2 linked regions of the Nothobranchius furzeri genome follow. Each later gene encodes a partner of the first gene's protein in a complex. Links are inferred from orthologs where the notes say so. Each region holds a gene or a part of one and is shown on either strand. Other genes may lie near its edges.

Region 1 (4,483 bases):
ACAGAGAAGCAAGGAAGAGGCAGGTCTCCCACCAACACATGTGCTCCATTAGAGACAGCGAAGAATAAACTAAATGTTTTATTTGTTCCAGATGGAGCGTCGCTTTAAGACTCAGCTGCAGAACTTAAAAGAAAGGCTGGAGCGGTCCGACTCTACCAACCGCAGCCTCCAGAACTACGTTCATTTTCTCAAAACCTCCTATGGAAACGTTTTTGGTGATTCTTTTATTGGAAGTTGATGCGTTGTCATTTTTACCAAAACATTGCTAGATCTAAATTAACATCAAAAATTCATGAATTTTACTAATTAAACATTTTATAAAATAGTTTTGTCTGACATTTTTATTCCCAGAACTCCAGTGGTGATTTTTCTGAATGGATCTCAGAACTTCTGCTGCAGATTTTTAAGGGAAAATCCTTTTTTTTTCAGTACTTGAGATTAAACATTTCAGAGTTACATCTGATATTTATTCATATTTAGCCATTTCTCGGTAAACCTTATAATTTAATTGACAACTTATTGCTTTATACAAAGTTTAAAAATCACTCAGCATTTCTTTAGAGTAAAAGATTTATTTTTTTCTCTCCATTATTGTTCTAGATTTATAAATGTAACGTTGCAAAACAAATGAAACCAAAAACAAATGAAATGATGTAAAAGATATCATTCTATATACTATTATATAGAATTATATATTTAAAGAGCAAGTCACCCCCTACAAGCAACTTACTTCACTCCCTTTTCATGTTTGAAAAATGCAACAAATGCTGTTGCCTAGCAGACCGAGAAGGCATTGTGACATCATAATGTACCAGTTTACATCATAGCATACCTCTTAGCCAATAGCGGTGGCAGATTTAAATTCAAATGCAGTGCAGAGATTTTACCTGACAACGGCGCAACACTGAGTTTTAGGCAGAATATTTAAATTTTATTTAAGATGCACTGAAGTACCAAATTATTGATGACACGTGTCTGCAACACAATTAGACACACATTTATACAGTTTATCAGCAAAAAAAAGTTGATTTGGGGGTGACTTGCTCTTTAAATTCCCATCTCACGTGGTCTCTTCCTATGCTCGGGTCCTCCACCAGAGGCCTGGGAGCTTGAGGGTTCTGCAGTTTCGTGTTTTTCTGGGATCTGCTTTAGCCACTCCTCAAGTCTGGGGTAAGGGTTAGGGTTTGATGACCACCTATGTCTTCACTCTCCAGGCTTGCTCAAGTTCTTCTTCGAGGTCCTGGTGCTTCTCTGGTTTCTCGTGTTCTTTTTCCCTGATGTTGTATCACAGACATTTAATTAAAAATATAAATATCTATATATAAAAACTTGGTATTGCCACTTAAACCACAACGCCAATTGTAGGAGAGCCCGTCTAGCCAGTCAGACGAAAAAGGCGGGACCTTCCTTGGACCTTCCCAACAGCGCGGCCGGGCAGGGGCAAAGGTGAAAGTGCCAAAGCGGAACCATAACCCACGGAAGACTGTTTCCTGGCGGACTGTTTTTAATGTAACCTCTTCGTTGATTCCACCACCCACCGCATTTGTTCCTCTTTTTTTTTAAATTATAGCTTGTTTCAGGATGCCTTCCGAAAGTTTACGATGGGAAACTTTAGAGGCGTTAAAAAATTCTCCCAAAGGAAAAGTGGTGTTTGACCCTCGCTGGTCGGAACGGGGCGAGGTAAGAAGTTAGCTAGCGGCTAGCGCTAGTTTAGGTCAGTTCAGTTCGTTTTATTTCAAACATAAACATTCACCAACATTTCATAAAATCATTCCATGCAGTTGTTTGACAAGGCTGTTTAGCTAACAGAACCAGAACTTAGCCTTTCTTCCGAACTCTCGGTGCAATTCACCAGAAAACAAACACAATATAACACGCTAAAGCAAAAAATGCAGAATAATAATCAGCACAAAAAGAGACAATGACAGTAGTGTGAAAATAAAGATATATACAAACGGTTAAATCTCTCCGAATCTTAACTGATTTAATGACTGTTTGCTTATGGAATAAAGGTCATTTATCAGTTTAGGGGATGGTTTACTTGGATTCAGAAGTTGTTTTATCTAGTCTAGCTGTGGGTTTGACCTGTGTCGTGTTCTTGTAGCATATTTTAGCTGGATGTACAGAGACCCTCGGGTTATCGTCACACGCCAGGGTCATACTGGAGCGGATCGATCCAGTGTCCCTACAGAAGTCCTCCTTCCTGGATCAGAGAATCACAGCAGAAGAAACTCCAGCCTCAGGTTCCTCTACAAGCTCCGTCAACGATCTCAAACACCGCATCCTCTCTTCAGCTCTTTCGCTAAACCATGATTACGACCAGGTACAGCACTTTGAATGTAAACTGCTCTGACTGGGATGTTTGTCTCTGCTGGAGAATCTTTGGATGAGCTTTTGTGAATACTTTGTCACCATCTCAACTTGATGTGCTGCAGACTGTTTGTGATGAGGTGCAGAGTGAAAGTCCAGAGGCAGATGACGTCAGTGACGTTTCCAATCCCGTGCCATTGCCTGTCATGTCCCTGCTGTCTCCTAAAGCCATGGAGACCGCCGGATGCATCATCCTGTTTGAAGAAGGGCAGCGGAAAAAGGCAAAGGTCAGGCAGAGATTCCTTTATTCTGCATCTTGGATATTTGTGGTCATAGAAGGTTTTTTAAAACCACAAACAACTATTTGCTTTGAGGATTTGTACAACCCCCACATACAAACAATTACAATATTTAAAGGGGCATTATGGAAGTGTGACAGCCAAAACATGTATAGAAATAATACATTCTCCTGCAATGCCCTGGTCCTGTAGAATGAGCCCTGGCATTTTTACTGTGATTGCCTGTTTTTCTGTAAAATCACAGAAAAAGAGAGATGCTCGGGTCGAGCAGGCTGCTTCATGCACGTTCACGCTCAGGCATAGCCCGTAGCATTTGCTATCCGGAGCTTTAGCAGCAGAGAGAGAGGCAGTGCCACTTTGTCGCTGTTCCTAACTCCTAGTGACAAAGCTAGCTACATTTCTGAGGACCCTTAGCTACTTTCTGTAGAACTTTCTTGTAGATGTTTCCTGCAAATTAGCAACAAAATAGCCATTTTCGCTCCGAACCGTTCTTTGAACGTTGTTTCAGCTGTCATCAAGGATATAAATGTTACAGACACGAAAGACATTACTGGCGTTTTAGCTCACCTAGTTAAACGTTGGACTCTCATGCAGAAGATCCGAGTTTGATTCTGGATGTGAACATAGTTCATTTAGATTTTCTTTTTTACATTAATGGTATATTTTCTTACAGTAAGATGGCCAAATTTTTATTTGAGACTCGCCGAACGGCATTGAATTCACAAATAAAAAAGATGTGGGTTCAACTTTTATTCAGGAACAATTTTTCAAGCAAGGGAAGGGAATGATCTGAGCATGCAGGAGGACTGACCCATCATAAACCTTTGTCGGCTGTGCTAAAGAGAAAGGTACAGAACCACATTATTTAATTAATTAGCTGCGTGTTCTCCTGTCCTCTGTCCTCCGGGCCACACACACACACACACAAGGGACTGTCTCAGCTGTTATTTTCATTAAGGAGTGTGCACGTACAGCATGCGCGCCTCGTGCACGAGCCTACCATTGATGCTGCCGTTACGCTTTTGGCCTGAGGGGGCAATTGCGAGCATAAAAATTCAAAACTCCGTAAAGTCCCTTTAAACTAGCTGAATTGGTTTTACCTCACCAACCATTAATGACCGGATTCGAGCACGCGGTGCTGTATGTTTTACTCCAGGCATGTCGTGTGTCTCCAAAACTGCACATTTGTTTCGAGAAGCTTGCTGTCTTCTCTTGACTTAGTACTTTTAAACACCTGCTAGTAGGGATGTAAGAAAATATCGATATGGCAATACATCACAAAAATGTTTCCTGCGATATATCGATATTGAAAAACCGTGCATCAAGTTTTTGGAAGAATTTCCGTGCAAACGTTTGTGTACTATTTTCTTTTCTTTTGGTGCAGTTCAAATGACGACCGCTAGTTGGCAGCAGTGTGCAATGAGTTTTGTTTCCACCACTGAAATGTAAATCCCTCTGTGGTCAGATACCTCATGTATCTAAAATTCTCTTTACCCCCAAAGTATAAAGAAGTCCATTTTAAAACCTTGAATGATATTTACCCATCTAACCATTTTATGCAAACTAGATTTAAGTTCAATGTGGAAAAATGTTACTTATGCAAACAAAACGATGAATCGACCAAACATCTATTCTTTGAATGTGATAAAATTCTAATCATGTGGAATTCACTCGAGGATTGGCTGAACTCCAATCAAATTTATATAAACAATTTCACAGTTGAAGATATCTTATTTGGCATTATACTAAAAGATAAAAAGAATGAATTTCTAATTAATAATCTCATAATCTTAACAAAATTTTTCATACACAAATGCCGATATCTCAAAAATCCACCTACGTGGAATAATCTCAAAAATGAAATTAAACTGCTG
Region 2 (4,425 bases), on another chromosome or scaffold:
CCTTTCAGTCTATAGCCCCCAGACTTTGGAACAGTCTGCCTTCAAATCTCTGTCTCTTGAAATCTGTAGAGGTCTTCAAAAAACATCTTAAAACTCACCTTTTCATCCAGGCGTTCCCCCGCTAAATATTCTAAAAGATGGCTTTGTTCTTGTTCACACTTTGACTTTGTTTTTACTCCTGATTTTGATACTATTGTTGTCACTGCTATTGTTTTTCTGATGTTTTTATTGGTTTGAGGTATTTGCCCTGATTTTACTCATGTTGTACAGCGCTTTGTGATTTATATCTGTGAAAGGAGCTATATAAATAAACTTTACTTACTTACTTACAAAACTGGTTTATTTACATTTACCACCAGCAGCTAAATGTAGCACTTATCAGAAATAAATACTAAACTACTAATATTATTTTTACATTAAAATTATAATATTATCACTAATTAAAAAGGAAAAAAAGATGAGCCTTTGTTCCCTAACCCCCTCCCACTAGAAGAAACTCGACACGTCTCAACCATAGATATGTATATACAGTAAAATAAAGTATTTATTATTTATTTATTTATTTATTTTTAAATAGGGTTATTAATCAACAAAACATGGCACATTACAATATTCCATTCTTAACTGGAAATACAAGCAGACAAGATAAATAAAATGAGGAAAAGTAAATAAATAATAAACAAACATAATATAAATAAAATGCAAATTGAGTGAAATAGTCAAAATGAAAGTAAAACAACTGATAAAGTGCAAAACATCATTCAATAAATTTGCTAGGGTTTAGCATTTAGTTTGTATTTCTTCACAGAGTCATTCATAGTGTAGGCTTTGGAGCCTTTCATGAATTTCAAAGAGAAGTGATATACTAATTCTTTACGAAATGCAATGAAATTAGGGCAGGTTTTAGCATAACAACATTTGTGTATGTAAAAATTTCCAAGGATAATTATAACATTTAAAGCAATATAAATATTGTGCTTGGCTGTAAAACAACATATTAATATGTTTTCTTTAGAAAGTTTTGGTGGATTAGCCTCAAAGCCAACCAATTCTCTAATTCACTCTTTACAAATTCAGTCAGTGGTTTCTATGTCTGCATTACAAAATGAGCAGCCATTATGTTCCAAGTTAAATCGATGTCTCAAAAGCTCTCCAGATGGATAAATGCAATTAATAATTTTAAACTGCATCTCTTTTATCTTTGGATCAACTGGAAGCTTGAGAAAAAAAAGACTCCTTGCTTTTTTTCCACTTTCATAAGATTATAGGTGAGAAGCTGTTGGCTAAGAATGGATGCAGCTCTTGAATAAATAACTGTCTTATTACAATATTGGATAACATTTTGTCGGTAAAAGAACATCCATTAAGCATAAGTTCAGGGAGTTTTGGACTAATGTTATTGTGATGAAAATTGGAGGAGCTTGACAAGACAGGACTCAGAATTGCTTTAATAACCTTCTGATATTGTTCCTTGACAGTCAACTTGAATTTGGAGCTAAATGGTTCATGAGACAACAGATTTCCAGAGTAAATATGTATATAAACACTGTCAACCACGTCTCAACAAAATTGACCATGTGGGGTTGCTGTCGCCAAAAAGATGACGTTCCCAATACGTCATCGGTTTGCGACTTGGAGTATAAAGACGGAAAAAGTTTTCGTAAACATCAAGCCGTTTGGGGCATTTTGCCCACATTTTACACTCTTTTCACACTAATCCTGGTTCAGAATGGTCGTGTGTAACTTTTTCCTTCAGGGCCGGTGTCGTTATGGGGAGAAGTGTTGGAATGAGCACCCCAGAGGCGGAAACAGAGGAGGTTATAACGACAATTACAACCGCGCTCCTGACCAGCAACAGTCCAGACGACAAGGAGGAGGTAATTCTGTTTCACAGGCAACACTTTAAACCCCTTCATCACTTACAAGTGTTCAGTCGTGGTCCACACGTTTGTTTTTCCTTCCTACGTCACGCTGCTCTGTGACGTTTCACCTCGACCAGAAGCAAATGAAGGGAAAGGACTGGTCCAGACTTTGCTGTGGTTTGCATCAGATTTCCTTTTTAACTCTATTTTTGTGCATATTTTATAAACTCTTCTTCTTACTCCAGAGGAACTTTCTGGATAATATTCCTCAGCCTGACTTGTTGCTGACAGTTGCTCAGACACGTTGATCTGGAACAGTTTGTCTTGGAGGAGGTCTGACAGGACTGTATTGAAGGCAGAGCTGAAGTCCATGAACAGGATCCTGGCGTAGGTACCCGGGAAATCCATATGCTGCAGGATGAAGTGTAGAGCCATGCAGATGACATCATCTAGACCTGTTGGCTCTGCAGGCAAACTACAGGGAGTCCAGGAGGATGTTAAAATGTAAAAACCGTGAAATCAATACTAGTTGAAGTCTTGGATTTTAAAGGACCACCTGCTTCTGTCCTTTAGTACATTTTCTTACCCTCACAGTCTTAGAAACATGAAAACAATCACATTAAAGTTAATTTTAACCTGTTCAGCACTTTGGTCATCTAATAAAGGGAATCGGTAAGAAAGCTTTAGATTTCACAGCCACTAATTTCTTTCTGTATGCTGGTTCCAGGGTTTGGAAACAAAGTTTGGGTGAATCCTTCCCAACAACGAGGCGGCTACATCCAGCCTTCATCCTTCTCCCAGGAAAGGGATGACTGGGGTTTTCGGGGAGGAGGGGGGAGAAGAGAGAACCCGAAGAGCTCTGAATTCTCATTCTCCAATCAAAACCGATTCTCCGCCTTCAATTCTTCAAACACATTTGATAGGGGAGGAAGAGGAGTTGGAGGAGGAAGAGAAGAGGGAGGAGGAGGAAGAGTAGGAGATGAAGATGAGGATAAAAAACTGTGAGATTTTGTTTTTACTTGTTGTGATTTGAAAATCGATTTCTTCTTTGTCCTAAAACCGTGTGAATATTTCCCCCTCATCAGGGAGATGATTCAGACAGACATGGGTGTTTGGGAGAGTTCAAAGCAGTGGGGCTTCTCCTGTTACTCCTGCGCCAAGGCTTCCATATCTGGTCTGTAGCAGTAATGCGTCGCTCCAGCTGTTTTATAACAGCAGGACTGGTTTTAACGTGCATGTTTACGTCTGCAGGGTTCACAGATCTGTCTCCAGAGGAGCTCAGGTTGGAGTATTACACCGCCAGAGCCTCAGGGGATCTGCAGAGCTACGTGAGGAGAAATCCACTCACTGTTAATGCTTGTTGTTTGTTTTGATGCAAAAACATGGATTTTACACATTTATCTGTAATCTCCTGCTCTGTGTGTTTAGCTTAATGGCGTCAATCAGCTGCTGAGTCAGTGGAAGAGCCGAGTCCAGGAGCTGAAGGTCATGAGTCCCACCACGCGTTTAGCTTTGGTAAGACGCCGCTCTAACGCTCGCATGTCTGTTTACAGTCACCATTTGTGGTTTAATATTTATAATTTACATTTGTCTGCAGCTTGCAGAGTTGAATGGGAGCGCTCCTCAGCCGTCCTCCAGCGGCTTCGGTTCTGCAACATCGACCGGGTTCGGCTTTCCCACGTCCAGCTTTGAAAACAAAGGTTTGACTTTTCTGTTGGAGCTTTTCTTAAACGTGTGTTTCCTTAAAAAAAAAAAAAGTTCAGATCATCACCCACAACTCTCAACCTCGCCATCAAAACCAGTGTTTAGATGTAAGTTTGAGAACTGACATGAAGTGGCTGATTTCTAGCTTCAGGCACTCTTTTAATCTGGATTAAAATCAAGAACTATTGGATTTTCTAATAAAATGAAAAATAATAAGATGCTGAAAGAATCTCCTGTTGGTTTATGAATGTAAAACCAAAGGTAGGCCGGTTGGTGATGGCCTCACGACTCCTCTTATTATTATTATTAATACATTTTATTTAAAAGCACAAAGAGGCAGCTCGCGGGCCATGTGCGGCCCATTGAGGACCACTGTTTTACCAGCTGGTTGTTTCTAAGGGGTCTCAGAGCCCTATTGGGTGTTTATACAGGAATGAGATCGGACATGTATTTTGGTCCCATGCCGCTGAGTGATTTGTAAACTAGCAGGAGCACTTTGAAACCTATTCTGTAGTTTACTGGTAACCAGTGTAGGGATCTAAGGACAGGAGTGATGTGCTCCGTTCTCTTAGTTCTTTTAGAGACTTTCTTGTTCGTGAAAAGTTCATCAACTCTGCATCAGCTGAGGTATTCCTTAAATTTGAAGCAGGTAAGCGGTAGTCTAACGCTATTGGTTAGTTCTGGTCGGTGCTCAGTTTCCAATTGTACGGAGCTCTGCGGGGCTGGGGACGTGTTTATCAAAAAAAAAAGACGTATTGCTTACATTACATCACAGTACGCGATAAGATAAATACTTTTACGGATTTCTGAAAAACCATACATACTTTCTGAAAGTAGAAAACTCCAGAAAGCTACTTAA

What was found.
Region 2: the proteins of gle1 (region 1) and nup42 are in contact, whole or in part, in a crystal structure (PDB 6B4I), measured with the Homo sapiens proteins. The link is inferred for Nothobranchius furzeri from reciprocal best matches to the Homo sapiens genes GLE1 and NUP42. Residues at the interface, in NP_001003722.1 of Homo sapiens: Ile385, Ile593, Leu598, Asn599, Trp602, Arg603, Ala606, Gln607, Leu609, Asn610, Gln636, Tyr637, Gln638, Val639, Gln640, Lys643, Met644, Ile646, Leu647, Glu650, Asp651, Tyr652; in NP_001357375.1 of Homo sapiens: Asp185, Asn186, Val187, Leu188, Phe189, Gln202, Phe203, Gln204, Ser205, Lys206, Lys207, Phe208, Leu210, Gly211, Lys212, Ile213, Pro214, Leu215, Lys216, Pro217, Pro218, Leu222, Leu223, Asn224, Val225.

What each region holds. Positions count from the first base shown.
Region 1 is NC_091750.1:38,709,383-38,713,865, reverse strand, and holds the start of gle1 (mRNA export factor GLE1), read left to right. Parts: upstream 1-1,473; 5' UTR 1,474-1,581; coding exon 1,582-1,680; intron 1,681-2,104; coding exon 2,105-2,323; intron 2,324-2,435; coding exon 2,436-2,597; intron 2,598-4,483. UniProt on the Homo sapiens protein: Required for the export of mRNAs containing poly(A) tails from the nucleus into the cytoplasm. May be involved in the terminal step of the mRNA transport through the nuclear pore complex (NPC).
Region 2 is NC_091751.1:29,848,833-29,853,257, forward strand, and holds the start of nup42 (nucleoporin NUP42), read left to right. Parts: upstream 1-1,608; 5' UTR 1,609-1,729; coding exon 1,730-1,877; intron 1,878-2,233; exon of another isoform or gene 2,234-2,356; coding exon of another isoform or gene 2,357-2,366; intron 2,367-2,589; coding exon 2,590-2,863; intron 2,864-2,947; coding exon 2,948-3,036; intron 3,037-3,113; coding exon 3,114-3,190; intron 3,191-3,290; coding exon 3,291-3,377; intron 3,378-3,459; coding exon 3,460-3,562; intron 3,563-4,425.